Linked DNA regions of Styela clava. The protein of the gene in region 1 purifies or fractionates together with the protein of each later gene. This does not show direct contact. Links are inferred from orthologs where the notes say so. Each region holds a gene or a part of one and is shown in the gene's direction. Other genes may lie near its edges.

Evidence for each region.
Region 2: the proteins of ubiquilin-1-like (region 1) and 26S proteasome non-ATPase regulatory subunit 4-like purify together in Drosophila melanogaster (affinity purification with western blotting; 3 studies listed by BioGRID, with this or other methods). This does not show direct contact. The link is inferred for Styela clava from reciprocal best matches to the Drosophila melanogaster genes Ubqn and Rpn10.

Annotation. Positions count from the first base shown.
Region 1 is NC_135258.1:15,528,184-15,545,474, forward strand, and holds ubiquilin-1-like, read left to right. Parts: upstream 1-8,654; 5' UTR 8,655-8,800; coding exon 8,801-10,363; 3' UTR 10,364-12,735; downstream 12,736-17,291. Other genes in the region: peregrin-like, read right to left, coding at 297-702, 923-1,290; uncharacterized protein LOC120339369, read left to right, coding at 12,736-12,972, 13,198-13,334, 14,074-14,290; C-1-tetrahydrofolate synthase, cytoplasmic-like, read right to left, coding at 16,399-17,291.
Region 2 is NC_135250.1:20,476,201-20,492,702, reverse strand, and holds 26S proteasome non-ATPase regulatory subunit 4-like, read left to right. Parts: upstream 1-9,494; 5' UTR 9,495-9,642; coding exon 9,643-10,800; 3' UTR 10,801-11,780; downstream 11,781-16,502. Other genes in the region: translin-associated protein X-like, read left to right, coding at 11,802-12,590. UniProt on the Drosophila melanogaster protein: Binds and presumably selects ubiquitin-conjugates for destruction.

The DNA of each region.
Region 1 (17,291 bases):
TTTCGTCAGTGGGCCATATAACTAACTTCAGAGATCTAGTCGGGTCACACTGTTACAGACAAAAAATTTAGCGGGGAAAGGCAAGAGAAGAGGAGCGCCTAATGCTTACATATTTTATCTGTGAGCACATTTTGAAACATTAATTGTCGGAATAGATTTTATGCTGGTTGGGGAAAATCATGAGTGTTGACAAGGGCTGGGTTGTGGGCAGTGGGCCGCCTATTGCACACTCGTGCTCAAATCTATCCTTTCTTTTCTTCAATAATAAAGGTGATATTACAATAAACATGAATTACCTCCTCTGCCAATTCTTCAACTGGTCTTTCAATATATCGATAATAAGCCATACGACGTTCTGGAGCATCAGCTGCTTCAGTTCCATACGCAGAGACGACGCGAAACGATGGTACAGGAAGCTTTGGTTCAACTGGCTTTGATTCTGCTGAATTTCCATCTCGTTGAATAGGAAGAGTCACACTTTTCAAGTCTTTGCTGTTGACCGCGGGTTTCCCTCCCGTTTTGCTTTTTCCATTCTTCCCTGCCGGTCCACTGTTTCCTCCATCCTCTTTAGTTATGTTTTTCTTTGAGTCTTCTTGATTTTGAGTATCTGAACTTCCGTCTGATGAATTTCCGCTGTTACTGTCATCATCTTTATCAACATCAGAATCCGAGATGACGTCTAGTTTTTCATTTATGTCCAATCTAGCGAAAAGCAATAGAAAAAATATACATGATATAAAATCTTTTCTAGACATCTTAGTTTTTAATCAAGACTCAAGGTAGGTAAATCATCAGTCTAATACATAAAAATGTTTTCAATTTGTGGAATCTTACTCCATTGAAGTTGAAACAAAATATATAGATTACATTTTTCATTTTGTTTTAAAGTGAATTCAGCACAGCAAAAGCTTAAGTTATATACCTATAAATTTTTCCTTCTGATTCAACTTCAACCATTCTTTGAGCTTCGGCCCAAGTCAGAGTCTCTCGGGCTGGTGATGCAAAACCAATAGGAGATGGAGAGCGTCTAGGTGTATTAGCACTCATTCGTCCTCCTTTCTTTTTCATGGCAAACTTTGAGCGAGGTCCTTTTCGATTTGAATTTGACGGTGTGGGTTTCTGGCTTGGGGTCATTGGAGCTGCATCATGATCAAATTTAAGCATATGATATTCCATTCCAGAGTAACTTTTATAAATCTTCTGACATTTCGGACACTCCCATGGTGGCTTGGTAGCACGTAATGATCGAAGAAATGTGTCAATGTCAATGCTTGAATCCATTACTCCCATTAAATTGATTTCAAGCAAAAAAAGCAGTTTTCAATAAATGACTTCTAATAACAATTTGTTTTAAAATATGTTCATTTTTTCTTTGCCTTTGAATGTTGATGTTATATGTAATTTATTTTTAACTTACATTAAATCAATATAAAACTTCAGAATAATAAAGCAATGTTTTAATCCAAATTAAATAAACACAAAATCCTGAAAAAAAATTAAGTTACTATATTTTTTAAACACAACATCCAGATTTTTCTACTCTACTACTATTACTTCTTTACTGAGCTAGACCATGGTAATTCTACTGTTCTATGCTAGTACCTAAGACAACTGACTATTTTTTATACCTACCTGACTAGATACAGTACAACAATACGACTGTATGATTAGCAAATATTGACACCTATCTGCCTATTACAAATCCTAGGCTATTTAAGTGCTGTATTCAGGTATTTCGAACACAGGAATCCACAACTGATTGTTGCGGTATAGGTATCCTATTATCAGATTTTACACATCCACTAACTGACTAACCAATCTGACAATGTTTTACTAACGTCAGACCTGCAGAACGTTAAAATCACAAGTTCGAATCGCAGAATCGGGCATTACAAGTACCTCATTGCCAGTATAGATCAAACTAAAACTTTTAACATATTTAAGCTATGTTTGAATATATATGTATATATACAATAATACCGACATCACGTTTGAATTTAAATCCAATGCGCCAAAATCCCGCCGAACACGGAAGCCTGAGGTAAGGCCGGCCTATAAATCTGGAAGCGGGCGAAAAATTTTCGGCGAGCCTCGCTATCGCTCCTAGTGTTGTAACTATTCTCTGTACTCATATTTCAAAAAAGGTCACACTGTGGTTAGGACCCCAAAAAAAAAAATTAATACCGATATAAGAAGATTTTATCCCATTTTTCTAATTTCGACCTAAGAAATAATTTCAATGAAATCCATGATTTTTGAGAAGAAAATTTCGGTCTGCTGTGATGATTTGCTGCGTCTAAATAAATTTCTTTCAAATGTAAAATTATTAAAATACGATATTGTGGTTGTTCACGATACAAACAGTCGCGTCTAGAGGATATCCGATAAATTAGTAAAGTGTTAATCATTATATAAAACTTACTTCTAAAATCTTTTATGTTAATTTTGTCAATTTGACTCCCTTACTTTTCATTTTTTTATTTGTTTCGCAAAAATTGTTTCACTAGGAATGACATTATTATTTATTTCCAATAACCAGGTTGTTCTTCTGAGAATATGTTCACTATCACAACTACTGCATAGTCAAAATTTGTACTCCTTAGACTTTAGAGTTTACACCAACCTGTACTAGCGATGTAGGTGTCGCTGCTTGAAGACATCTCGAGGACCCTCTCGACTCCGGTCACACAAATAAGAGTATCAGTATATTTATTTGATGCATGAATTTCTGCGCAGTTATTTACCGGTAGTCGTTGGTGATGACAAATAAACGATTGGCTGACTGGCTTTTCAGTATATTATCGTCGCGGTATGGGATCGATGGACAATTCTCCATCACACTTCATCGTATCTTGCGTCAAGATCTGCTGTGCCTATCACGATAAATTGTACCCCAACATTTATCTCGTATATTTTCGCGATTGATTTTAAAAAAGTATATTATTGTTGCTAAAACGATACCAGCTTTCAAACAATTATTTGTCTACCCCAGACAAAGGTATAAGTTCAGATATACTAGAACAAAATAGTTTTAAGGGATAAGCAAACTATGAAAAAGACCAGATAAATTTCAAGGTGTCGACATCACCGATAATATGTAACAATAATTAACGCATGTTCTTGAGTTTCAGCTTGAAACACAAATAAAAAATATTTAGACGCATAAATGGAGTGTCACTTGACTCATTACTGAAGGCATATCAAAATAGCTTACTTTAATTAATTGCATCGTAAATTGCCTTGTAAATCTGCACGTATGCAAATATGGACTCGACACTTCTTTTACATATTAATATAGGTGTCTGCAGACGTTTCGTTTTGCACGGGCGCTGGGAATAGCGGTGTTTTAAACTCATACCAAGTTGTCTACCGTAATGGTATATTCGATAAATGTTTACCACTTTTATTAAACCAATACCCATAGTGGCGTACGCAGAATTTTGTGACAATTTTATGTCAAATTTTATTTTCACACAACGAGGAAATTCACTGTGATATTTGATTGATATTTTTCTTCTTTATTGTCAAATATTTAAATAACACAATTTTAGTAGCGAAAATAGATAAATTAATTGGGAAGGTAGTTTGGATGAGGAATAGCTCAAAACGAGTAAGAATTGAGGGCGTTCTTAATAAATTCCGTGTACATATGTGTACAGTGTGTGAAAACTTCAGTATACATAAGGTCACATTTCTTAATATATATATTTCATAAAATTCTGTTGTTAGTGATTATATTTATATTTAGTATATAATAATTGGAATCTAAAAACAAGTTCAAATGATGATAAAACATCATAGTATCAGATATTGTGACGTTATAATACCCGTTTCCAGTGCAGCAGGTTGGCCGCGAACATGGTCCTTCCACAAAAAAAAAATTGTTTCAGATATCAACATTCGGATGCCAACTCATTTTAAAAACATTCTGGATCTCATTGAACAGCAGAATCGGAAGCATATTATTAGCCGATACCGAACATATACCAATACCGAAATAAATGCCGATATCAGTACATTTCTATATTTATCCCGGGGAGATGAAAGCCGATTAGACGGCTCAAACATCTTGCGGAACACGGTCACTTGTCCGGTTACCGGTCCATGTAGGGTATGAGATTAGTTAATAACAAGTTATTTGTTTCAGATACATGGACTTGATGGTTGAGAAAGTCGTAACTGACCAGCGGTTATTTGAACCAGCCTGCGGCGGCGCCTCGCCTCGCATATACCGTGTTCCCCCGAAAATAAGACAGTGTCTTATTTTAACTTTCTTCCGAAAAATAACACTTGGGCTTATTTTGGGGAATGTCTTTTATTATCATTTATCAAAAACAAAATTACAAAGTGGAGAATTACGAGATTTTTCGAATATACAAAATATGACAACAACCGATATCCATTTACTTATTAATAACACGTTTTTATTAAAATTTTCATTTATTTATTTATTGAAACGTATAGGAGAGATTCCTTGCCATCGACTATGCCAGGAAAACAAATTCGCACTATCGACTAGGTCTTATCTTTAAAACTCGGGCTAGGTCTTATTTTCGAGGAAACACGGTAATTCTCATCCCGCGCGGGATTCGAACCAGCTAACCCACGCAGGTGCGGTAGCGAGCGTATTCCTAACGCTCAGCGCGAAACACCGCCGAGCAATTAAAACAGAACATTTACTTTACCTAACAAAAGGCAAAGAAGAAGCTGAATGGCGACGTTGGCTGAGATGACGTATTATGAAAAAAAATGAGAGGGTAGAAAATGGCGAATGTAGTGCAATTTTTGTAATTCGGATCCACCTTAGACGAATACTGTAAAGGTAATTAGACGGTATATTATACTGATGCTTCTTCTTTGCCATTTCGCTTTTTATGCCAATTAATCCAAGACCGTGATTCAATTTTGTATGCGGGTTTTTTTTAAATAAATTTTAAATGGAAACGTACATAAGCATTCTTTTTGTTTTCACAATTACAAGACCAGTCTGTCGATGTATTACACTGATATTTCGAAGTAAAATACGTGGTTAGTGCGTCTTAGTATAATTCTTGTTCAAGCACTTTTCCATTTCAGATGTCTTCAGTTATATTTTTTTATCATATAGAATAAAAATGTGTGCTACTTCTATTTTCTTCAAAAATGCCTTCTGTCAATCTAATATAGACACCATCAAACTCCCGATTATGCATAGGTGTGAACAAAATTTCAGAGCCAAAATTTGTTCCCAAAACTTCAATTGTACTGATTAAATTTGTTGTTAATCAAGTTTCTCGACAATCACTAAGCTTATATTTAATTTTTTCTATTTTTATTACGCCCGTGATGTTTGCTGGCATACCTTCCACAGAGATAAACGTAGTTATACCTCATCAGAGCATGAATGTCACATCGCATTGTTATGCATTGTCTCTGGTTAGAGACGCCTGCTAGCTAGTGCACTGTCCATGCTCATTTTGTCATTTTAGTTCAGTGCTCACGACCTCGATTTGATATACTTACATATTATAATAATAAAAAACAAGAGAGCTATGCTCAAATATATGGAAACGCCACAAGTTGTCGCTATTTTTTATTGCAACACATATTGCACACAAGAAAAGAAAGCTCTTGAGGTTCACAGAAATTTTTAAAATAAGTGAAAGTGATAGTCTTCTGGCAAAGCAATCTTTAACCACTGAAAATTTCAAAGCAATTTGTCCTGTATTCGAAGAGCAATTTTATTATGACAACGGAGAAGAAAAACAAAAACAATAACATAATGTTGAAACGATCATTATGTCCACCAAGTGTCCAATAAGGAAGCAATACTCAAATACATGAACACGAAAGCCGAAACAAAATATTTTACTCACAATTTCCCCAAAAATCATATCTTGGACGAAGCTGAAACTGTGGACCATCGTAAATCACCAGTATCGTTACCCGGACTGCCCTAGCTTCAACAGATCCTGTAACAATGATGATTTATGCGTCTTGTGCAACGTGAAAAAAATGGAAATTGGAATATACGATGCTAATTGTAAAATAATTTCAATCAAAAACAATTTCGAAGAGTTATTAAAACTTCAAGTCGGTGCTAATTGAAATCCACTGATTTTGGCTGTAATTTATTGCCGCGCCGCCCAGGCCTGCTGTCTTCGAATATGATAAAAAATAAAATAATCGTTTTTATCAAAACGTGGACATTAACGCTAGGACGTGTGCGCGATATTCGGTATTCTTATAAACACAAAAAACGAAGGTCGCGATATTTGCTTATGAATTCGAATTGGATATCCAGGAGTCATAGGCCCCTGCCACTTCGGCACCTGCAAGTCAGTCATTCCCCATAAAAGTAAAATTCAGCATCACTTATATCGAGTATAAAACAAAACAAAAAAACAGTCGCTTCCCGGGAAATCATAGTGACACTACCTGCCAAATCTCATAAAAAATCTTCAGCTTATTTTTAGAAACAGCTTTTACATCCATCTGTAGTGCTTTCAATCACATTACTCGGTCTTCGGTGACCTCATCCACGTTACTCCTATCGGGATATTTCGTCAATTCGTCCTCCTAAGGTTCAACTTTTTAGTGACTTCGACACCCTCCTTATTCGTCGGAAAAAATTTCATCCACTTCTTCCTTTTAGTGTTCAGCTATTTAGTGACTTCAACAACCTCATTAAATGTAGGGAGAAATTTCATCCACTTCTTTCTTTTAATGTTCAGCTTTTAGTGACTTCAGACACTCAATAAATGTCAAAAAAATTTTATCCACTTCTTCCTTTTAGTGTTCAGATTTTAAGTAACTTCAACCAGCTCATTAAATGTCGGAAGAAATTTCATCCACTTCTTCCTTTTAGTGTTCAGCTTTTTAGTGTTTTCAACAACCTCATTATTCGTCGGAAGAAATTTCATCCAATTCTTCCTTTTAGTGTACGGCTTTTTAGTGACTTCAGCCACCTCACCACCCGTCGGAAGAAATTTCATCCAATTCTTCCTATTACTGTTTAGCTTTTTAGTGACTTCAGCCACCTCACCACCCGTCGGAAGAAATTTCATCCGCTTCTTTCTTATAGTCTTCAGCTTTTTAGTGACTTCAACCACCTCACCACCCGTCGGAAGAAATTTCATTCACTTCTTCCTTTTAGTGTTCAGCTTTTTAGTGTTTTCAACCACCTCATTATCTTTCGGAAGAAATTTTGTCCACTTCTTCCATTGAGTGTCCAGCTTTTTAGTGTTTTCAACAACCTCACCACCGGTCGCAAGAAATTGTATCCATTTTTTTCCTTTTAGTGTTCAACTTTGTAGTGACTTCAACCACCTCACTATTCGTCGGAAGAAATTTCACCAACTTCTTTTATTTAATGTTCAGATTTTTAGTGTTTTCAACCACCTCATTATTCGTCGGAAAAAATTCAATCCACTTCTTCCTTTTAGTGTTCAGTTTTTTAGTGTTTTCAACTACCCTACCACCCGTCGGAAGAAATTTCATCCACTTCTTCCTTTTAGTGTTCAGCTTTATACTGATTTCAACCACCCCACCACCCTTCGAAAGAAATATCATTCACTTCTTCCTATTACTGTTTAGCTTTTTAGTGACTTCAACCACCTCACCACCTGTCGGAAGAAATTTCCTCCACTTTTTGGACACGTAGTGGACATAGCGATCGTTTCAATATTATGTTGTTGTTCTTGTTCTTTGACACGTTTTTAAAAAGTCGCTTTTCTCTTTGATTACTGGACCAATTGCTTTGAAATTTTCAGTGGTGAAAGATAAAAATTTTCTTCAGAAGCCTTTACTCTTTTTTTGCTATGACGTCGTCAAAATTATTGCCATTAGGTAGCGCTACGTGTCCATAATATATTTGATCATAACTCTCTTGTTCTTTTTAGTGTTCAGCCTCTTAGCATTTTTAAATATTTCTCATCTGGGAACACTTCAACCTCCGGAATTCATTCACTTCATCCGTTTCTTCTTTTATTTAGCCTTTTAGTGTTGTCCCGATTTTTTTCATAACAACAAGAACATGACAAAGAATTCTAACAACAACATAATATTTAAACGATCCATTTCGTGTCCAATAAATCTATAACTTCACGTGTACTTAAATATAGATTTCGCTTACTGCACGTAAAATATTGGCAATAGTGGAATGTTCGAGAAGCCGTTAGATGTCAGCTACAAAGCACAATGAAAATTTGCCAGAGTTTTTTAAATAAATCCCACACGCAAAATTCATGTTCCTTTTCATTTATGTATCAACAACATAATGCAGTTTCATAATAAGTTATTTGAGTGCTAAACAAAAACGTCATGACTTTTGTTAACAGTACTGCATTAATAATTTCAATTATTTTTGAAGAACAGTATGTAACAGTCTAACTTCAGATAAATACAACCAATAAAAACAAAAAATACATTTTTATGGTCAATAAAACTGAAGTAAATTATTTAAGTTTACGATATAAAAATATTTTAACGTAATTTATGAAAAAGCTCAATAATAATGATAATAGTCTAAGTCAATGCCATTATACAAACATTTCAATCTTCAATATAAACTGGAATTCCAATACTAAAATTTCTATATCCATACATTGTATCGTATGATGATATTAGGATGTACACCTACTATTTTGCGTATAGGATCTAACTGATATTACAGTGCTGAAGTTTCGCACGCTTCTGAAATCTGGAAGCTTGTTAACTTTTTGTGGTATCATCCTACTCATTTCTAGTTTAGTCTTTATAATTGGACACGTTACAAGGAAGCAACGCGCAATTTTGGGAAATATAAAATAATTTCATCGCTATGGCGGATTCGGAAAACTCAGAACTAATTAAAATTTCGATTAAGACGCCAAAAGAAAAAAAAGATGTTGAGATTAGCGGAAAAGGAACTGTGAAAGAATTACGTGAAAAGGTTGCGGAAAAATTTGCGTCATCGCCAGAAAAAGTCGTTCTAATATTTGCGGGAAAAATTTTAAAGGACAATGAAAGCGTTGAAACGCACAAGCTCAAAGATGGACAGACAATTCATCTTGTAATCAAGAGTCTTCCACAAGCTCAATCTAGTACATCAGGTCAGAGCGCGACATCTTCTCAATCATCTGCATCAACAGCAACCGCAACTGAAAGTCGTCCGAATCAACCTCCCCGAATGCCAGGATTTAATTCAACAAATTTGATGGACATGCAACAGCAAATGCAACAAGAAATGATGCGTAATCCTGATCTAATGCAGCAAATAATGGGAAATCCAATGGTTGAAAACATGCTGTCAAATCCTGAAGTAATGGGACAATTGATGAGGGCCAACCCTCAAATGCAGGCTTTGATAGAACAAAACCCCGAAGTCGGCCATTTACTGAACAATCCAGAGTTGATGCGCCAAGCATTGGAATATACAAGAAACCCAGCAATGTTACAAGAAGTGATGAGGAATCAAGATCGAGCCTTGAGCAACCTAGAAAGTATTCCTGGAGGTTACAATGCATTGCGTAGAATGTACACAGATGTTCAGGAACCAATGTTGAATGCTGCCCAAGAGCAATTTGGCGGAAATCCTTTTGCTAGTCTCATTCAGAACAGCAATAATTCAAGTGGTGATAACAATGCACAAAGAGGTGTTGAAAACACAGAACCACTGCCAAATCCATGGGGAGGTTCTGGCACTAGATCAACCGCAGCGACTACGACCACTCCAACAACAGGTAGTTCTACCAACACGTCATCTTCTGCTGCCCCTGGTGTCGGTGGAATACAAAACATGATGCAGGATATGATGCAAAACCCTAGCGCAATGCAAAATCTTATGTCAAGTCCATACATGCAAAGTGCGATGAATATGATGGCACAAAATCCGCAGATGACTGCTGCAGCAATGCAAAACAATCCCATGATTGCCAATAATCCCCAACTCCAGTCAATGATTCCAACAATGATTCAACAAATGCAGAATCCGGAGTTTCAAGCAGCAATGCAAAATCCTAGAGTATTGCAAGCAATGACTCAAATTCAACAAGGCATGGATGTATTATCACGTGAGGCACCACAACTGTTGTCAGGAATGACATCCATGCCAATGATGCCTCGAGCACAAACGACTTCGACACCATCTTCCACGACATCGACAACCCCATCACAGCAGTCAACTAATCCTCTTGCGAGTGATCCCGAGGCTTTGTCACGGATAATGATGTCACTGGCAGCCACGAACCCATCTGCGAACACTCAACCCCCTGAAGAAAGATTTCGAACCGAACTTGAGCAATTGACAGCTATGGGATTTATGAATAGAGAAGCCAATATTCAGGCTTTAATAGCAACAGGCGGAAATGTTAATGCAGCAATTGAAAGGCTACTATCTCGTTAATATTGTATTTAAAAATTGATTGGATTGATATTTTGTTGTATTAACATAATCCCTGCAACCACATGATATATATCTTATTCTGCAATCAGAAATAATTTACTATATCATTTGTTTTGTAAATAATTACTGTAGCTTAATTGTATTATGTCAGGGTTGGAATTGGAATATTTCTGATCAATTTAGTGATATGACTCAAACAGACTAATTTTATTGAGATTTGATTTCTACTTTGGAGTTGATATTGGCTCCAACTAGGGTTGGTCAAATATTTCTAAGGCGGATTGAATTCTGAACAAGAAATCTAATACACCATATTTTTATTATCAATCTATGACATGACATACATGACAATTTTAATGAAATTACTTGTATCATAAATAACCAAATTAACAGTATTCTTGTATCTTCGTAAATGTCTGCAGGTCTAAATTGAATTTTATAATGAAACGCCAGTTACACTTTAAAAAACTAGATGTAGGTGATACAAATATTTAATTTGATTATTGAAGTCATATTATAATCTGATTTTCTCAACCCCTGGTTCCAACCCTGACATTTTAAAGCATCTTTCGTTTTTATCACAGGATAATTTATTTCCATCCCGTGTACAGGTACTTGCTGGAGAAATTCAGCTTAAGTGGTTATTTATGAAAAAGCCAATAATCATATCTTGATAATCACTTTTGTTGCATTGCAGGCTATATAACTCAATGTGTAAATGTATACCTTGTTATATGAGAGGTATTAGTTGTTTCTCTTGTTGAATTTTGATTTTATTTGTCAATTTTTTTGCATTGTATATATTAGACAAGGAATGAGCAAGGTTGGACATGGTACTTCTTAATAGGAGATTTTCTAAAGTATAATCTTATGAAGGCTTCATTCTCTCTTGTGTTTAGGATGAGACAATGAAAAAATCCTAGTCGAATTCAACATTCTTTGTGTTTGTTTGCTACAAAAACCAACTAATTTTTTGATAATTGCTTAAATTAATCCTTCTAAATAATTTTCACATACTCTTTGATTAGCTGTGTGGAAACTGATTGGTCTTCAGTTTTATTAAAAAACTAACATTTTTTTCAGTCTGACATAATAGGTAATTTTTTTTTGTCTGGCGTGTGCTGAGTAATATAGCACAGTTCGTCCAATATCCATTTTCTAGAAAATAGAATATTAAGATGGCATATAACATTCATTCTCTTACTAGATTTGGAAACACATTGGTTAATCAATATCACTGAATTTATTGCTCTAATTTAAGTCAGCTTAACATATAGTTATATGCTTTTAGTGTATTCGATCAGTTTGACTGCCGTAATTGTAAATAATATCCAGCAGTATTCACCCCATTGTTCCATGTTATAATTCGTTCAAATCCTCATGTCTATTATTCAGTGACTGCTTTACAATTGGAGTCATCAAAATGTGAATATGTAATTGGGTAATATAATAACTTGTGATTCACAAACAGTCAATTCCTCATTACAAATGAATGTCAATGCATAGGTTCTGTTTTGCTAATCGCTAATATATTATAATAACAGCTAATAAATCATCAATGTTTCTTATGTATTTTCTTCAGAGACTGGTGCTTATAGGCATAGCGATCACATTTTCCATGCCTCATTTCTTTGGTTTCAGTGTAATATGTAATATTTCTAATCATCTTTTGATATACCGTAATTTCCAAAGAGCCAATTTTGAATTGTTGAAGATCTTGCTTCGAAAATGCAGAATTGTTGCTTAATTTACGAGTTTTATTCATTTGATGTTAGATGTGTTTGAGTACAAGATATTAATGCATACAGAAAAATGTGACCCCTCGTCTTTAATTACTGGTTTGGCAAAAAAAAATTTTGGTGTGGGCAAAATGCTATTTATATTGGACCCCATGCATATTGAAATATATATTTTAATATTTGTGTTTGAATATTGAGTCATTGGTAAATATAACGGACATTAAAATTGGCTTTCAAATTTCACAATTGCTAATACTGTATTTCATAACTAACTGTATGTTGTATGTAAATGATATATGTTGTATAATATTTGCTTTGTGATTTAATTATTCATTATGCTCTGCCATACTTTCATCTTATATAAGTTTATTTGAAATGTGGTTTTTGTGTTACTACATATAAATGAACATGGGAATGATGTCATTCGTGAAAAATTTGTCAATTATTTTTCCAATATTAATGAGAATGTTATCTATGTTCAAACAAAAGTTTTTTCCCGTAACAGTCTGCTTTCAGTAAATATAGGGAAAAAAACAAGCAGGCAATATGGATGTGGCCCTTCTATGGCTTATATACTCTTATATAAATATAATTTGTGACTGAGTAAATTTGTTATCAATCTTGTGTAATATTATGTCTTTTCAGTGCACTTGCCATCGACCCATGGCATCTTTACTGAGACATGGGTTGCCTCAAATGGTGAGGCGATGCAAACCAAACCTAATAACTTTAGCTGGTAAAAACTCTCCAGTCATCTATTTGGGGATACGGAGAGTGGCATCTTCAAGCAAAAAGGGAGCGTCAGCACCAGTGACTGTTTCAGAAAAAACACCATATGAGATTGAACTAGAAAGGCTGAAAAAGAAAGATGTATGATTACTGTATTTTCTGACAATTTTTGCCTTTGCCTGCCATGTAATTGAGTCAGCTTAAGCAAATTAATGAAAAATGTTGAATGTTTGTGATAGTGTTTTAAAAGTATCGCAATAGACATTGTTTTATTAATTTCATTGATTCAGATTGGCATATCTACATTTTGATGTAATAACTCATGCAACTTAATGATGGTGTCACAATTTCATTTTTGTATTCTAGCCTGAAGAAAAGTTTTATGGATTTTATAAAGATCAACCATATGTTGACAAAATGCAATACCATTCTTTTTGGTTGATTCTATGGTCTTTGACACTCATGTTCCTCTTTCCTGTGTTATCCTATACACCGATGTGGAGGTAAGACTTCGTAATTGTGTGATACTCTTTACTACGGTAATTATTTCATTCATTCTTCATGCTCGAGTGAAAAGGCGAAATGAACAGTTTTTCAATCACTATGAAATGATGAGAAATGCTACCATATTCTCACACTTACTCACTGGACATTTGAGCCAGTAGTTATGAGTTAAGGCTGGTTTACTTTCCTGCTTTAATTTTCATTTAGTAGTATTGGTTAGGCAAGTGCATCAACTTTCATCTCTGACCCAATTTAAAAGAAAGCAGTGAATCATTATTCCGTAAATTGGCTTGTAGTAGACCTTAAAATCGGTGGTATTCGAACTTTCTTTTTCGAATTTGTCAAGTCTCGTGCCCCGCCTCAAAAATAACTATCTAACAACAAGATACAACTAACAGATAGTAAGGTAAAAATATGTTTATAAAAAAAAACGTTGAAAATACGTGGATGGAACGTAAATAATGAAATAAATGAAAAGTTTTAAAAACAAATAAGGTGGGCAAGATCAAATCTAACAAATAGTTTTATTCCGTCCCCTCAAAATATTGTCTATGCTTCTGTGCACGCAATATCGTTTGAGAACCACTGCTTTAAATTTTTAATTTTAATTGCTTGCCAGGCCAAAGACTGTGCTTTAATAAAGACTAAGACTTGTTTGAATTTAACATACCTGAATAAGCAAACCAAATTATTCTGGCATGAATAGTGTCGTTAAACTTGATTTTTTATTACTCACAGGGGCAATGATAGGAAATGGAAGGCTCGGGAAGCACATGCATGGATAGAAAAACGAAGAGCTAATGACGAACCTTTGATAAGTAAAGACTATGCTCCAGCTGAAATAATAGAAGGCATGGTGCCTCCTCCTGGCGATTGGGAAAGAGATTGGCTTATGGCACAGCAATCAGTAAGGCCAAGTGCCACAGGAGTCTACAACCACAATTATACATTTTAAATTGTTGCCAGGCTGAATAAATTAGTTATTAGTTTTGATATGTACGTTTTGATATATCACACAATACTATTCATCATTTTCTGGGCATCCAATATCTAATCAGACTTGTGATGTTTGACTTGCTTTAACTTGTTTTCTTTTCTGATAAGTTCTCCTCAAAATATATTTGTGAATAATATGATTATGATATCTCATAAGGCGAGTTTTTGATAAGCAGTATAACATTACACTCCAATATGTAGAAATGCCAATGCTTGTGTTAGGGCAAGTTTTCCAGTGGTTGTTGGTGAAATTGGTCTACCTGTCCTGCATGATGTTCATGCGGCATCTCGCCCTGCTTTAGCGACTTCTGTCAAATGTGAATCGACGCCAAAGCTTGTGTTAGAGAAGCTTATTCCAGTGGTCATTGGAAACGTGCTTTGATATGACTGGTGAATTATATACCCATTGATTCCGTAAAATCGTATAAAATTCTTTGTTCAATTGCAATAAGGAGGAGTAGTGTAAATAAACTCTTGCTGGAAATTATGAATATTTGAACGGCGGCAAAAGATGGGCATTGGGTTTGCACGTTTAGCAGAGAACAAGAAGCTCATTTTTGCTGCGCCAAGCATCACTAGTACTAGTTAAGGACATTTGTACTTTCCAAAGATATCCAAATGAAAAATATTAGACCCGTTTTTAGGAGGCATCGTGCCGAACAAAATCTGACTTTCAATTTGAATTCAATGAAGAAAACATGCCAGTGATGAGAGGATATAATTCTTACTTTTGTAAATGAGTAACTTCCTCCGTAGATGTTAATATAAATATGAAGAAAGGGAAAGTCTTCTTGCTCGGATGAAAGATTAAGCGCGGGATATATCACGTTTCGATGAGACGGTCATGTAACAAATTCAAAATGCGTCAGCGGTTCCATGTGTTGCTACAGTGATCCCCCCCTAAAATTTACCATAATTTTCAGGTGTGACACCATACTTTAATTTATAACGTAAATAAAAATGTGTTTGTATAATTAAAAAAATGGCTCATAGGCCGGTGAAGATGAACATTTTAAAAGTTACATTACTATAACAAAATATCTACCACCCTCCCTAAAATAAAAATCAAGGGAACATACTGCGGCTTGCTACCACCTCGTTGAGTGAACTCTCGCTTTTAGTATAAAGATTGGCGCTGTGATTTGTAATTAAAGATACTGAACGGGTATTTAGTCATGCATTATGGCAAGACAGACACGTGGGCTTTCGTGGAAGGTCAACGGGACGGCCCATTACCATGGCAACAATACGCACTGGTCATCTTATATGTAATCGACTACACACATTCATCTTATACAGTAGTTCTCGCGTGATTACCTGCCGATCAACAATGGTTAGCAAATTGAAACTCCGGGGTTTATTATTTTAATGGTGCGTATAACTGGCTTAGTTTTGTGCACCCGGACTGTGATATTGAGCGTTTGGTGCTCAAATGCTTCGACCCGTTACGAGGACGTATTCTATAACAAATGATATAATTCTGGGATTTGGTAGCAAATTGATAATATTCACGGGGCCTATATTCAGTTCTTTGCAATGATTAAGTAAAATTGATCTTGGGAAGTTATAACGGGGACAATTTAATATTAAATGTTCGACGGTTTCGTTTTCCGTGCAGGTGTCGCAAAATCCATTTTCGTGTAGTCCAATTTTATGAAGATGAAAGTTCAGACGACAGTGGCCTGTTTGTAGTCTGAACAATAGTATTTTATATCTTCTAGATCTCAGGGGTGCGATGTTGAATGTACAACGAAGGTGATCCTTGGTCAAGATATTAACGATAATGCCACACGCTTTTGTTAAACATTTATTTTCAGCTAGGAAGTAAGAAGGCAGACGGAATGATTAGAAATCAAGAAAAAGAATTATCAACATATCCCCGTCTTGGCAATTATTCACTTAGCAACGGTCTTGATGCATATTGCTTTTTATCACTGGAATCGGCATTAATAATAGCCATGAATGGTTTATATTTTTCCTGATTGCTAAGTTTGTAAAGAAAATGAGATTGCAACTTGATTGATTAGGCAATTACTCCATAGTTATTTATTGAAAAACCTTTTAATTTTAGAACAGTCCTTTAATTTCCATTGTTTCTGGGTCCAATGAAATATCATAAAAGCATGGTCTAGTTGGAAGCCCTGGCATCGTTGACATAGTCCCGATGAGTGGGTAAAGAAATCCAGCTCCGACGCTTGCGCGAATGTCTCGCACTGGTAATGTAAAACCTGTTGGTGAACCTTTCAACTCTGGCTTATGAGAAAGAGATAGATGAGTCTTTGCCATGCATATTGGTAAATTTGCGAAACCCTGTTTGGTATATTGCTCTACCTTTTGCTCTGCTTCTGGTGACAGTTCAACCCCATCAGCTCCATAAATTTTCCTCGCAATAATTTCAATCTTTTCCACAATAGGCAAATTAACATCATATAAAAATTTGAAATCTGTTGGTGCATCTGCTGCAGCCACTACAGCACGAGCCAGGTCAGTGGCACCTTTACCCCCAAGCGCCCAATGTGTGCATGAAACTGCATCAAAAGCACCTGCCTCGCGTGCAAGCCTCAATGCTAGTTCAACCTCATTCTGTGTGTCAAATACAAATTGATTTAAAGCAAAAACAACAGACACACCAAAATACTTGGCATTTTCAATTTGCTTCCGAACATTTGAGAATCCCTTTTCAACCAAGTCACATTTCTCTTCAAAATATTCTTTTGGCAGTGGCATTCCAGCTGTGACATTTGGTCCTCCCCCATGCATCTTAATTGCTCTAATTGTAGCTACCAGCACAACAACATGAGGTCGAAGGCCAGATTGTCTGCACTTTATGTTGAAAAACTTTTCCATGCCAATATCTGCTCCAAACCCAGCTTCTGTAACAACAATACCTTCAGGTCCTACCAATTTTAAAGCAATTTTATCTGCAAGGATAGATGAATTACCATGAGCAATATTTGCAA
Region 2 (16,502 bases), on another chromosome or scaffold:
ATAAGCATAGACTTAGATTTATCGATATTTAATGTCAATTTGTTAGCCTTCATCCAATTAACCACTTTTACAATTTCAGAGTTCACTCGTGACTGTATAGCTGGTAGAGATTTGTCACTATCTAGAAGTATAGTGTCGTCAGCGAATAGTTTTGCGAAGAAAGAAGAACAGTGGGTGAGGTCATTTATATAGACGAGGAATAATAATGGACCCAACGTCGAACCCTGTGGGACCCCGTGAGTCACTGGTAAGACTGGGGAGCAGTGGGTTCCTACTTGAACGAATTGAGTTCTGCCACTCAAGTAACTGTAGAGAAGTTTATTTGGTATACCTCTGATACCATAATGCCATAACTTTTGGGTTAGAATATTGTGATTAACGGTATCAAATGCCTTTTTGAGATCTAAAAATATAGCACTAACAAATTCTTTTTTTTCTAATTTGTCATAAATGTAAGAGATGGTGTCTAAAATTGCATGAGACGTAGAGTGATTACTCTGGAAACCAAATTGATGTTTATTTATCACGTCATATTTTGTAAAGAAATTACTGAGCCTATTATGAATTAGACGTTCAAATATTTTATTAATTGACGAAAGAATTGAAATTGGCCTGTAATTTGACACAAGTTTTTTATTGCCAGATTTAAAGAGAGGAATTACACGAGCAACTTTGAGGGATGAGGGGAAAATTCCGAGCGAGAGCGAGCAGTTGAACAATTTAACTAGAAGCGGCGCAAGCGGGTCAGCAACGAATTTCAGGAAGCGGGGAGGAATGTTATCCGGCCCAACTGCCTTTCTCTCCTTCAAGTTTAGAATTTCCACTATCATTTCGGATTCTGTGACCAAAGTCATAAAAGCTGATTTACTAACACGGTTACGAAGAAATGGCTTAAATTCACACATGTCATTAGAAAACTTGGCTGCCAAGCTAGATCCAGCAGTTGAGAAGTACTTATTAAATTCGGTTGCGATTAAGCAACCGTCTTTAACTGTACTGCCATTTTCAAGACATACTTCAGCTATCGAATGCTTGGAATTATTTTTTGTGGTTGTGATTTGATTAATGATTTGCCACGTAGACCTGGGGTTACCCTTGGTCTGGGAAATAAGATTTTGGTAGTGAATTTGCTTCGCTTTGTCTAATACGGAAGTAAGTGTGTTGCGATACTTTTTGAAGTATGAGCGTTGCAAGGGGGTTCCACGTAAAAAATGGGTTTTAAACAACTTATTTCTGTGTTTCATACAAGTGATTAACCCTTTGGTTAGCCATGGCTTTAGCCTCAGCCTTTTTTGACGACGCGATAGAGGTCGAAGTGGGGCATGCCGGTCGATGGTACTAACGAATGACTGTATGAATTCGTCAAATGTGTTGTCAAAGTTCTCAGCAGTTATATTAATTGAGGAAAATCGATTATTCATAATGTTATGTACCTCAGATCGAAAGGCATCAATTGAGAACAGTGACATATCTCTTGACAATACACACTCATTCGTTTTTGTGGGTCTAATGCCTCTTAAACAACAAAGTATGGGGAAATGGTCAGTTATATCGGAATGCACGACAAAGGAGTCAATTTCTAGATGTGTCAAATTGGTGTACATGTGGTCAATAAGAGTGGCTGAGGTGTGGGTGACTCTTGTGGCTTCGGATATTAATGAAATATCATTGTGTGACACAAGCATATTAATGTAATTTGCAACTTGGGTGCTGTTAGTTGCTGAAAATAAATTAATATTAAAATCACCAACAATGAGGAATTTTTTATTAGCCAATTTAGACAGGGATTGTTCGAGTAAGTTCGTAAAGTCGTAGATGTCATTGCGTGGGTATTTGTAAATAATACCGATTACCAGGTTATCTATAAAATTTTCTAAAGAAATTTCAAACCATAAATTTTCACAATTAGAGTACCGAATGCTATTTTCTATGGTTACAGTATAGGTAACATCATTTCTAATATACGCACCTACGCCTCCTGCTTTAGTAAGAGATGGTGCATGGATGAAAGTATACCCATCTATGTTAATATTTGAAGAATAATTATCAACTAGTTTGGTTTCACTTATAGCTATTATGTGTGGCGGTAATGAGAAACAGGATAATAAGAAAGTTAGTTGGTCAAGGTTTTTATGGAGAGAGCGAATATTAGTATGAAAAATAATAAGATCAGAAGACATACGAATAGAATTCAATTTCGAAACTTCAATATTGTTGCAGACAATGTTAAAATTGTTGGACATTTACGTTAAGAGAATAACATCATGAATTTATAGAGAATCAGTATAAGAAGATGCGAGTAATAAAATATTATTGCAACTGACCTATTTGATGAATGCTAGGTCATTCTCATTTCTGATTTGTCTTGTTTTTGTGTCATCGTTTTTCTTGACAAAAATTCTCCCATTGTTAGTCCAAAGGTATTTGTATCCACATTGTCTTTTTAGTTCCCTTGATTGAAAATAAAGCGATCTAGCTGTTTTCGTTAAGTTCTCCGCAATGAAAATTTTGGAGAAGTTGAAGAATTTATTAGGGTCTTTTGCTGTTCTCAGTTTTTTTCTATTTGTAATTATGTTGGTACGGACTCTCCTAGAGGTGAAGCGAGCAATTATGGCAGAAGGTTTATCTGAGTTATCATGTGCTAGTCTATGTGAGTTGTAGATATCTGCGGTGGTAATGTTCACTCCAATGATCTTTGACAGTTTACATACAAGCAGGTCGGTGTTTTCGTTATTATTATAAGCTATACCGTGGAACTCGAGACATTCCAATCGTGATCTTCTCTCTTGGTCTTCAACACGGTCTTCCAGGTGGTCGCAATCATCCTCAAGGTCTTCCACAAGTTCTTCTAGATCTTTAATCTTTTTCTGCTGTTTTTTCACCATATCTTGTGTGGATTTAAGAGATTTATTAATCGAGTCGAATTTATCTGATAAGAATTTTTGGCTGTCCCTGAGGTCACTCTGAGCTTTAGCAATCACACTGAGTTCGCTTCTCATATCTTTCAATGAGGAGTCTAGTGAACTCAGAATGTGTTGAAAACTAGACTCGGCAACTCTTGAAAGATCCGATGGACTGGATGGTGTTGTTTTGGTGGTCAAACATTCATCAATCATTGATGGCAATTGTATCAGTACTTGGCGAAGAATAGTGCTTGTTATAACCGCCATTAGTGCGCTATCTTCCTCCTGTGATGTACTTGGCGAATCAGGAATTGGACGCTTGGAAGAATCCATACTCTACAAGTCTACAGTATATTATCCTAAAGTTTCTTAATCAAACAGCGAAGGTTAAGACCACATGTACATGACCACATGTAATTGACCACATGTACACCAATTTGACACATCTAGAAATTGACTCCTTTGTCGTGCATTCCGATATAACTGACCATTTCCCCATACTTTGTTGTTTAAGAGGCATTAGACCCACAAAAACGAATGAGTGTGTATTGTCAAGAGATATGTCACTGTTCTCAATTGATGCCTTTCGATCTGAGGTACATAACATTATGAATAATCGATTTTCCTCAATTAATATAACTGCTGAGAACTTTGACAACACATTTGACGAATTCATACAGTCATTCGTTAGTACCATCGACCGGCATGCCCCACTTCGACCTCTATCGCGTCGTCAAAAAAGGCTGAGGCTAAAGCCATGGCTAACCAAAGGGTTAATCACTTGTATGAAACACAGAAATAAGTTGTTTAAAACCCATTTTTTACGTGGAACCCCCTTGCAACGCTCATACTTCAAAAAGTATCGCAACACACTTACTTCCGTATTAGACAAAGCGAAGCAAATTCACTACCAAAATCTTATTTCCCAGACCAAGGGTAACCCCAGGTCTACGTGGCAAATCATTAATCAAATCACAACCACAAAAAATAATTCCAAGCATTCGATAGCTGAAGTATGTCTTGAAAATGGCAGTACAGTTAAAGACGGTTGCTTAATCGCAACCGAATTTAATAAGTACTTCTCAACTGCTGGATCTAGCTTGGCAGCCAAGTTTTCTAATGACATGTGTGAATTTAAGCCATTTCTTCGTAACCGTGTTAGTAAATCAGCTTTTATGACTTTGGTCACAGAATCCGAAATGATAGTGGAAATTCTAAACTTGAAGGAGAGAAAGGCAGTTGGGCCGGATAACATTCCTCCCCGCTTCCTGAAATTCGTTGCTGACCCGCTTGCGCCGCTTCTAGTTAAATTGTTCAACTGCTCGCTCTCGCTCGGAATTTTCCCCTCATCCCTCAAAGTTGCTCGTGTAATTCCTCTCTTTAAATCTGGCAATAAAAAACTTGTGTCAAATTACAGGCCAATTTCAATTCTTTCGTCAATTAATAAAATATTTGAACGTCTAATTCATAATAGGCTCAGTAATTTCTTTACAAAATATGACGTGATAAATAAACATCAATTTGGTTTCCAGAGTAATCACTCTACGTCTCATGCAATTTTAGACACCATCTCTTACATTTATGACAAATTAGAAAAAAAAGAATTTGTTAGTGCTATATTTTTAGATCTCAAAAAGGCATTTGATACCGTTAATCACAATATTCTAACCCAAAAGTTATGGCATTATGGTATCAGAGGTATACCAAATAAACTTCTCTACAGTTACTTGAGTGGCAGAACTCAATTCGTTCAAGTAGGAACCCACTGCTCCCCAGTCTTACCAGTGACTCACGGGGTCCCACAGGGTTCGACGTTGGGTCCATTATTATTCCTCGTCTATATAAATGACCTCACCCACTGTTCTTCTTTCTTCGCAAAACTATTCGCTGACGACACTATACTTCTAGATAGTGACAAATCTCTACCAGCTATACAGTCACGAGTGAACTCTGAAATTGTAAAAGTGGTTAATTGGATGAAGGCTAACAAATTGACATTAAATATCGATAAATCTAAGTCTATGCTTATTTCACCAAATAAACATGAAGCCAATCATAACTTATTAATCTGTATTGACAACATTACATTAGAAAAAGTCAATTCTTATAAATATCTGGGCATATATTTAGACAGTCAAATGAAATGGGATATTCATATAACTAACTTGGCTGCTAAGTTATCTAAGTCGGTGGGAATACTGTACAAACTCAGGCATTTTATACCAATTTCGACTTTACGTATGGTTTACCACTCGTTATTCCAAGCCCATATTCAATACGGTATTTCTGCATGGGGCTCCGCTGATAAAACTCTTTTACGCAAAATTGAAATAATGCAGAATAGGGCCATTCGTGCTGTGTCTGGCAGTGGACCTTATGCCCAACTTGATCCAATCTATTATAAACTTCGTATTATTAAAATGGTGGATATTTATAAATTAGAGATATTGAAATTGATGCACCAACATCACAACAAAAAACTCCCTGTTACATTCACTGATTATTTCTTGAAACAAAGCAGCGTGCATTCTTATAGAACACGATCCTCTGCCAGTAGTTCCTATTATGTAACTCATTTTTCAACCAAACGTACTCAAAATTCGATAAAATATACAGGCGTTAAATTATGGAATGCTTTATCCGATAACATTCGAATTATGAATTACAATTCATTCAAACAAGCTTTGAAAATTTTTTACCTGGATTCCTATGTATCCTTTTAGTCTGCTTCAATAAGTGGTATAGATCCCTTATAAGTATAGTAGTGTACCGTATACAACCCATGTCCCCCACCTTTTGTGTGGCTCGATTTTTCTATAACTGGTCATTCGGTCCAGGATCTCTATTTTACCTAAACGATCGTGACTTTTTTCACCTCTTAATGCCATTGGCATTGTCACCATTTTTCTTTATTGTCCTCACAGAGCACGACCATTATCACTGAGTTTGCATCATTGCCCAAAGTACATGTGGAATGAACTTTTCCCATCAAAACTGTTTTTCCTGTCTGAATTGTACTTATATATTTATTTATTTATATATTGCCGTATCAGTACCGATACTTAATCCAACCCGGCTTCCCCTGTTATGGTTGCTGGGAATTCCCCTTCAGTTGCTAAGTTTCTGCAGCGTCCTGCCAGTCAACAATTTCATATTGTGATTGCGATCACCCGAGCATGACGCTGCGAGACTGACATACTGATTTATCGTAAACGCGTTTTTTCTGACTTTTACTCGACACGATGGATATTTGTTCCCATTTAAACATTTCTCTCTCGATTCCCTTCACATTTCTTTTTAAACCATTCTCTTTTGACTTGCTCTCTCGATTCGATTTACGTTTTCTAAATTTCCCCTGAGCTAACTTAATTCTAGATTAATCATTTCTTCCCCGACTCTCTTGATTCCATTCATACTTTTTATTTAAACTTTTCTCATTTGGCTTACTCTCTCGATTCGATTTACGTTTTCCAAATTTTTGCCCTGATCATACATAACTCAACCTTAATCAGCTAATGGCTAGCCGGCTACCCATCAGAATTTTCTTTCAGATCACAAAGTCGCAATATTACGCCCCGCTAAGTTTCATTGGCAACTGTATTTGGTTGTAGTATCGGTGTCCAACTTTAGACTGAAACCTTCACTACCAACCCCACCGAAACAAAAAAATTTTCTTGATAGGGTCGTATTGAAGTTGCTTTCGTTCAAGCACAATAGACACTTTATTTCCACCAATCCACAGTAATCACAAGTTACTTTGTCATTACGTTAAGCACCAATAAATGGATGCTGAGGTCTTGTGCCACTGTGGTCTTGCCACTGTGGCAACTTATACTTTGCCATCCATCTATTCCATGGTCACACCCATATCTGTAAGATAAAGGATACAGATTCATTTGATATCATGATCCTGCACTAGCTTTGTAATATTTGTAGAGTTTTCGTAAAATTTAACAATCAAGTGGTGTGAAATTTATGTCCATATCCCACCACAAACACTAGTCGTAAATGAATTTGATTCCGGCTAGCATATCTTTTTTTACCAATGACAATAAAAAGACATTTTGGGACAGTTGTACAAGCACCTTTAGGATTGCAGGTGCAACAACTAAATCATATGACGAATCACAGTCTCTCGTACGATTACCAGTCTATGTTGGGATTAGTTAGTCAGTTATTTGTTCTCAGAAGCATGGACTTGGATGGTGGGGGATGGTCGTAACCGATCAGCGGTCGTGTGAACTGCAAGGAGGAGAGCTGCAATTCTCTCGCACATAACTATCCCCTCATGGGATTGGAACCTGTGAAACTACCAGGGTGATCAGAGATGCGGTGGCGAGCGTATTCCTAGATGGCGAATTCAATTGAATTCTGGTTATTTTTTGCATGACCACTGGTGTTAAACTTTAGTTATCTATTCAACCTCAACCGTTCACTCTCAGTAATAGATTACCTGCTAACTAGTAACTAGGGAAACAATACATTATGGCAATTGATGATTAAATTCCTTACACAAGTCAAGTCTGCAAGTAGGTCTAGGCCTACCAATAACAGTAGTCTGTCATCTGCTTTCCATTGAAATGAGAGAGCTTATGGATATTTAAAAAAATTGATAACGGCACATTATCACTCACCATCAACGAAGTGCTGTCCGCAAACAGTGAAATACAAGCGAGATGACTTCTGGACTTGACACCAACACCAAGCAGTCCTGCCAATAGATGATATCCACATTGCACGACGTTCCGGATCTTTTGAAAACAGGTGGAATATAACTGAAGATCCATTTCGTTGTCTATACTATACGTACAGCCAACAGAACAATACGAAATAACCATTTTCAACAGCCAAACAAAACGGAAAAGTATAATCCGACTTGCAACTGACAGAAGCCAAATGGACGTTTTTGTTTTTATTGCCGTCCAGTAACGAAGTCACGTGACCCGTGCAAGTCCTCTATATGTCATTGGTAGGCTATAATCTGCTATTTGTGAGAATATCTATACGTGGGTAACAAAGCCCTAAAATCCCGGGATTTTTAGGAAATATTTGCGGGATCGGGACTGAAAAAAAAAAACAGTTCAAATCCCGGGATTTCGGGATCGGGTTTTCTTGGGTCCCAATGAGCATATATTTGCTCATCGCGGGTCTCAACTCTACGAGCAACTTCATACCCGGGACCCAATGTGACGCCAAATCGGAACAAAGTAGAAGTGTCATATGTATAATTTTGAGCGATTATTTGATTTTATCAAGTTTCATGCTTCTGATATTAGATTAATAAAAGGAATTCAAAATAATATCCGAACTAGGGTTAGTTCGGATACCTATAATTTATACTATCCGGATAACGGATATATCCGGGTATTTTACCTATCCGGTTAACCGGATAGTTAGTTACTGCTAATTTCAGAGAACCGATTTTACAAGATTTTTGTGGCGAATTGACTGAAAACCACCACACAGTTCTATTGTAAATACGTACATATGTATTATTTTTCTCGAATAAAAATGATTGTGCATTTTGATGTTGCATGTGTCAATAAATAAAAATTTAAGCTCTGTAATCGTACAGAAGTGCAGCTGAATAATATAGTGAAACATTGTTTTAAATTCTGTGTCCTAATTGTCTTCCTCTCGACTGCTAAGTTATTTTCTCATATTCAAATCCTATGTAAAAATTTATATTATTCCTTTTTTTATTGTTAAATTTTTTGGAAGTTTTTTTCTGTCTAGACATATAGCATATTTTCTTTAAATTTTGACTCCTACTAAATTTTGGTGTCGCAGACTCACGATGACCATTTCTTCAAGCTTTTAAGTTCAATTAGTTTAACATACACCTGACTTAGATAGAATAGATTTATTTTCAGCTGGTATATCTTTTGATTCGATTGATACAGGGAAATTTGAAAAAACATATATACCAAAGTTAAAAGGAAGCACATAACATTTGGTTGTGTACCCAAAATTTTGAAATGCTACACAGATTACATGGAATCGGAAGTATTGTGAAATAAGTCCTCGAAATTCAAACTGGTTTACTTCATGATAAAATGCGTTCCTTCAATACACGCAACAATTACTAAAAGCCACACCCGACATAAAAGCAACAAACTCACACCCACCCAACCAATACTTTTCAAATGAATTCGTTTAAGTTAGTCTTTCTTAAACTGTACCTCCAGTTCAAATCTAACTTTATAAAGCGAATAAGCTCTCCTAATAAGCGCAATAATCACATTTGTTCTGCGTGTTTTGTGATGTAATAGTGAAGTTCACTCCAGCATTCTACGGATGGCTAAAATATATATAGGCAGATTAGAGTGGAAAAAGTTGTTATTATATGCTCTGGGAGATGTCAGTCGCCACTCAACAAAAAATATAAAAACCGCTAATCGCGCATATGTATTATTTATACTGCTCTATTATCCGGTTAACCGTCACAATAATATCCGGATATCAGATAGCAAAATAACTCTTGGTTAACCGGTTAACCGCTATCCGGATAATCCAACCCTAATCCGAACATAAGTTTGAGGCCAAAGGTCGGGGTCACTGATCCGAAAAATAAATTCGCTGTGTCATGAAATAAAAATAATGCTGTGTTACAACTGAACCATTGTGATCCTGTAATACAGTAATAGGTGTAAGTTAACAGTCGGCGGATCAACTAGTTGCGATCTTTTTTGTCCAGTATCTGAAAGTTAAATCGCGCTGAAGTAGACTAGATATCAAGATGGTTCTCGAAAGCACAGTAATATGTATCGACAACAGTGAATACATGAGAAACGGGGATTATTTGCCAACAAGAATCCAAGCCCAACAAGATGCCGCGAACTTGGTATGCCGTACAAAATTACGTTCTAACCCTGAAAACAATGTTGCGCTACTCTCTCTTGCTGATGTTCAAGTTCATGTTACATTGACAAATGACTCAGGAAAGTTGCTATCAAAATTACTTTTAGTGCAACCTAAAGGGAATATTAGATTCTTAAATGGCATCCGTGTTGCACATCTTGCATTGAAACATCGTCAAAGTAAAAACCATAGAATGCGTATTATTGCCTTTGTCGGAAGCCCAATTGAAGACGATGAAAAAGAAATAAATAAAGTTGCGAAAAAACTTAAAAAAGAAAAAGTAAATGTGGAAATAGTAAACTTTGGCGAAGAAGAGTTGAACACACCAAAACTGACTTCGTTTATCGAAATACTGAATGGAAAAGATGGAACAGGATCTAATATTGTCAATATACCTCCAGGATCCATGCTTTCTAATGCTTTAATGAACTCCCCAATTATTGCTGGAGAAGGTGGAGCTCCCAGCTCTGGCGGTGGTGAATTTGATCTTGGATTTGACCCAGCATCGGATCCAGAGCTTGCTCTTGCTCTTCGTGTGTCATTAGAAGAACAGCGTCATCGTCAAGAAGAAGAAGCTCGAGCAGGATCAGAAATCCAAGAAACTCAGTCAGCTCCAGCAACTGCAATGGCAACAGGCACTGGTGAGGATGACATGTTACGTGCGGCTCTCGCAATGTCAATGAATCAAGAGGTACCAGCCACTGCACCTCCTGGTAGTCGCCCTGTTGATATAAGCTCTATGTCGGAAGAAGAACAAATAGCATATGCAATGCGCATGTCAATGCAAGAAGAAAGCTCACAATCTGCCATGGACACGGATGAGAAAACAATTTCTGAGTCCCCGATGGTGGCTGAATATGGTGATGATGGAGATTCGAATGAAGAAGATGTAATTGCTGATCCAGCGTTCCTGCAGAGTGTTCTACAAAATCTTCCCGGTGTGGACACATCGAGTGAAGCAATACAACAAGCCATGGATCAACTTGCTCAAAACAGACAAGATTCTGATAAAGACAAGAAAAAAGACAATGAATGAATTCTGACTACGCAATTATTGACACAAAACTGTTTCGAGAATATTAATGACGGACATAAAAAAATTTTTCATTCTGCCAAATTTCAGAATAAATACTGGCTGGCGAATATTATTGTGAGATATCTCTCCACTATTTCATTATAATATGATACCACATTCACAGTATGTTCTTGTAATTTAAATTAGAATGGCTGACTGAAGTTCTTTATTATCAATCAAGTGATTTCGCACTATCCACTTCTCCACAGATTTAAACACTACCTGTTATAAAGAGATATTGAAGACACTTACTTTGGCAAAGAACATCTTCACTTAATTGTTGAATGTTGTGATTATTCATCCTTGTAAGCTTTAGGTATTTTACAAACCTATACTGGCAGAATGCAATTCTTATTCTAAATGCTTCTATGACATACTATTGTCCATGTTAATATTTGAGTTCAACATTGGATTTTTGTGAAAAAATTTGAGAGTAATAAAGTATTTCGTTACAGAATTCACAAATTTTCTGATTTTATAGAATGAATGGTATGTGTATTCATCCTTTTAAAAATTAGGTCTTCTATCAAAAGTAGCAGCAAACGAATATTTGTTATCTAGATGCTTATATTACATACTAAGGTCCATTGAGCTTTAATAAAGTTATAATTCATGAAGAAAATATGCCTCAAACAAAATATCTGAATTGAAGCAGTAATTAAATTATCAGTTTTAGACTGTCAATTCATCTACTTGGGATATTGCTGTTAATTTTCAATATGATTTCATGCAGCCCTTGAAAGTTGAAGTTGCTCCAAGTGTTTCTTTTTGGGTGATTATGCTGAGAGTGTGTTCTGTCTACATTGTTCAAAAACATTCTTTTTCCAACTTGACATACATAGGTAGCTATTTGAGTTAAATAAACAGCTTTCAAATGCAATGAAGGCAAGATAAATGTAGTGTTTACTTATTTTCGTTTTGTTTCTGTAACCTATAATTAGTGGTAACATTTATTATCTCTGATGGATGTTATCGATCAGTTTCAATTATTTCAACAAGAATTGGAAACAAAACACAACAAATGGGAAAAAATTGTGAAACTAAGCCGTGACATAACGATTGACAGCAAAAAATTGATTTTTCTGTTACACCGAATTGATATTACATCTCCAGAAACAAACTCAAAGTTCAAAATAATTACTGAGGCTGATGAAAAATGTGATATTATTATGAAGAAGTGGAAACAAATTGCTACTGAACTGCAGGATGAGGATTCGCATGCGTACATTAGAGCATTCTCCCCAGGCCTGCAGGAATTTATTGAAGCAATGTCTTTTTTGTACTATTTCAAAACTGAAGAAAACTACAGTATACAAAGCATTTCCAACTGTTTACTTGATCTCAGTGAGATACAAAAATCTTTGGTTTTTGCAGATGATGAAAATAAAGAACCTTTAGTCATTCCAATACCAGTGTTGGAATATTTATACGGCATCGCTGATACTACTGGTGAAGTCATGCGCTTATGCATTAACTCTGCTGCAAAGGCGATCACTGAAACTTCGAAAAAAAAGGTGTTCAAGTTATGTGCTTTTATACGTATTTTATATGAAATGTTTCTGTCTTTTTCATCTATTATTGACGTATCACCAGGAAGAAAAAGATTGCTGCAAAGCAAGATCGATGTTATGAAGTCGTCATTACAAAAAGTAGAGGATACTTGCTATCAATTAGGCCTCAGAGGCAAAGAATTACTAGACGTTATTCTAAAGAATTATGAACCAATAAAAGTGAATGAACCCTCTGGTTAATTTAATTAATTTTTTAAACAAAACCTGATTTTAAAACAAATTCTTTAATTCGAAATACCCCGCTTTATGATAAATATTTTTCCTTAGAAATTATTCCAAGTAACAACATAAGCATGTTTTCCAGTGAGAATCTGTTTAACTAATAATTAGAAATGGTATGATTTTATCAGAATGTCTATTTTCCTGGGATTCCTATTTTCGTGCCGTTTCAGATTTTTAGCTAAACTGATAAAAGCTGGCGTGAAGATTCCGAGAAATATTTGATTCTATTTAACAATGATCAGATGTTCAATCATATACATATTACATATCTTCCAACCAAGTGTTCGATATTTTGCATGATTTACTTTTTAAAGTTGGCCCCTTCGTTAATTTGTGGGCTTGAGTGTATGATTTTGCCGTACGAATCAAAGGACCGTATGAAGGGAATAAGGCTGTTCGGGTATTTTCTGGATCATCAGAACTTGCAGTGTAGATCGAAATGGGCACAAAAGACGACATTCGTTTTGTAAACTTATCTAATATACTAACTAGAACATCTCCACGCATGAAAGTGAGTTAGGTGTACGAGCGTTTCCGTGCAATCTACTAAATGATTTTGAGTTTGTGGGTGAGAATGACTGATCGATTGTCTCGGCTGTATATCTTGTGATGATACTTTGCGCCACATTCGACTTTGAGAACACGACTGGTTTGCCTGAAGATCGCAAGGAAGAGTTCAGGTTTCCCTATCGCAAACGTTCTTGTTCAGACCCATCACACTACTCCTCCCCAATTCATTCCTCATGCGATTTGAAGTACTTTCCCGGCACTGTATGGCGGGGAAGTAGTCCGTGGTGTGTTCAAACTGCGCTATTGGTAACGATTGATTCCAAATCGAAGTTTTACAGTTCTGTGATTGTCCTTAATGTGAAGCAGGGGTGTGCAACAGTGGTCCGCTTGCCACAACCCGGCCTGTCAAGCCATTTAGTGTGGCCTTTGTCAACACTCAGATTTTTTCCCATTATTCACAAAATTCTAATCCGACAGTTTGTTTTAAAAGGCGCTCACATGGGTAAAAATAAATAATGTTCTTTGCTGTTGTCGGCTGTGGTATATATTCCGCCGTTTTGCCCAGTGCCGTTATCACTCTAATTCGTTGTGTACATGGAACAACTAATTATTTTTCATATGTCCCAGCTAGATTTCTGAAGATGGTTATAGGGCCCACCGACAAAAATGTTGCACACCCCTGATGCTAGGTATATCAAAAATATCGTGTTCCTAACTTGTATCACTTGCCCACACGTACAATTATGAATGTTTGTTAAAATGTCTGAAATTATTGATTTACCTTTTGACATCATTCTTCGATACTGAAATAAACCCTTATGCGTAATAAAGGGGGTGTCTCAAAAATGTTGTGTCCCACTTGCCACACGTGTCCCACACCTGTATTACTTGTCCCAAGGGTTGCCAATTTTGACAAATTTCAATAAAGAATACTGTGACATATATTCTCAAGTTTTAAATTAATTAACTCTCCAACTCGAAATATGAAGAAAAACAAAGACAAACTATTTACTGGCTCTTCGTCGACTTCAATAACTGTTGGTCAAGTTTTATATACGTTAATGTTCCTGGGTCTGAAAGCACAAATGAAACTATTTTTAAAATATTACCACACATGATTGAAACTTTTTAGGATTGTGTACCACTTGCTGCTTGTTGTTTTGCATTCTGCGAACGGTTTAGAACTTTGAATCATGTCATAATTTTCTTGAATTACTGAGATTTCATCGAATAGGTCATATTTAATTAAAGAAATTATCCTATCTTTTAGATTTTCCACAAATAATTTAATAGGGAATTGCAGGCAACACTTATTTTGATAATTTTGTAAACGTTGCATTTTCATAAAAATCAAAATTTTTACAAATATGTTATTGCTGAATTAAAAAAAATCTTCAAGTCGTCAGTCGCTTCGCGAGTCATAAGTCAATATACATTTAAAAGAAGTTGGTGTACGTTATATACAACGAATTTTTGTGCGTATCAGTATTTCAACTTATTTTTCTTTTAAATTAGTCAAAATAATAATAACATCTGCTACTGATGTTTCATTTTTCTCAAGTTCATGTCATCTCAGCACGGCGGGCACGCGCTCTTCCATCTCGTTTCTTCCAGCATCTCAAGTGGAATTCTGAGTCGTCCTCCCACACTTCCGGCAAAGGCAAACGAAACTTGTGGTTGGCGATTGTTTGGTGTTTTGTGTAATTTTTAATAATTTATTTACTTTTAAATGTTTTGCAGCTCCAATTCCTAAGACGAATTCCTAAAAAGATAGAATTTTATAATTGTTAAATAATTGTTCAATAATTTCGATCAGATTTTTGTTGTTTAATTATAATCCCATTCGTAATAAATAAGTAATAACAATATTAATCTATCGCTGCGAGCAAGCATATTCTATTTTTAACAATATTTGAAGTTTTTCCACCAAAATAACATTGCGCGTCTGCACGAAAAACAGGAAAGGGCACGTGTTTCCGATTAATTATTAATAACGAGCTGTCATTGTCAGGTGTATCATCATTTGTTACATGAACATTATACAGCTATCGCCCCCACAACATATATAAGGCATAAATTAATATATATATGTTTTTTATTGAACTCAAGTAAACTGATCTGAATTTTTCTTGTAACTCCTGAAAGGTCAAATAGGTTTTATAAACACTTTGATCTAGAAAATAGCATACCCCAAGCAGTAATGATCAAAACATGGAGGTGTCCATATTATAATATTGTGAAAAAATAGTCGTGGAATTAATAAAAAACTTTATAAAGGATATTTCAATTTCCATTGTATAGGCAAGTATCATGAACACGGAACAGCACTTGACGCAAATGCCAATGTGATCCCCGCCATATAGATATAGGTTGCATACCGATTTTCCGATGAATATAATTTTTTGGACACTATTTTATGCTCAATCTTCAGTCCTAAAATGATAGAGACACTTCAACGGCTTAGTCTTCCTCCATAATGCAATAAAATGTTCTTCAGTTGATCCGATGCATTTAGATATTTGATCCGTTATGTATATATCCAATGCTACAAACATACGTCATCGCTACTTGTACGCGAAAAACTTAGGCGAATCGAGTGCTTAGTATCCGCATAGTTTGTGATATCTACTCCGAAATATCGTTGGGTAAATAAATACTTTTATATTCAGTATCAAGTATATCTATACTAGCTATGAACATACAATACAAATCAGTCCAGCGTACCTTACGTCGTATGAATTAGCACAGTCCGTGAGAACATACGTGATATAATGGGCTACTTTTCTAACTTTCCATTATGTAATTCATGCCCCGAGGTGTGTAGAGGGTAAAATCCTTATAATAGGCTTAAATTGCCATTGTAGAGTATTATGTTAGTCTAATTACGTTTAATCATGTCGATACACTGAAAATAAACTTAACGAATTTATCAGACGGGATAATTTTGCAATTCCACCACTATATTCGACGTTTCGCCAGATTTTATATTTGCACGAGTTGAAATCGACCACACACTAAATACCCATGGCATTTGGCGATAGGAATGTCGGTGATCTTTTTGGAATTTATCGTGTTTTATTTATCCGGCCCGGTTATTTGGCTTAGATTTCATCAGAGTAAATAATAAACTTACAAGATAACATAGCCAGCACTGTTGGTTAGAGCTATATTTTTGAAATACTGAACTAGAACGGTTTGAATGGCATCAATGTGAATAGGAAAGTCTTGTTTAGTATATAAAGGTTCTTTGTTTTTATTCATGCATTCAAAGACACTCTTTGGCAATTGGTGTTGTTTGAACAACTTTGCAAGATAGTGAAAACTATTTATTCTTTGCGATGAAAGTTCTAAAGATTGTGT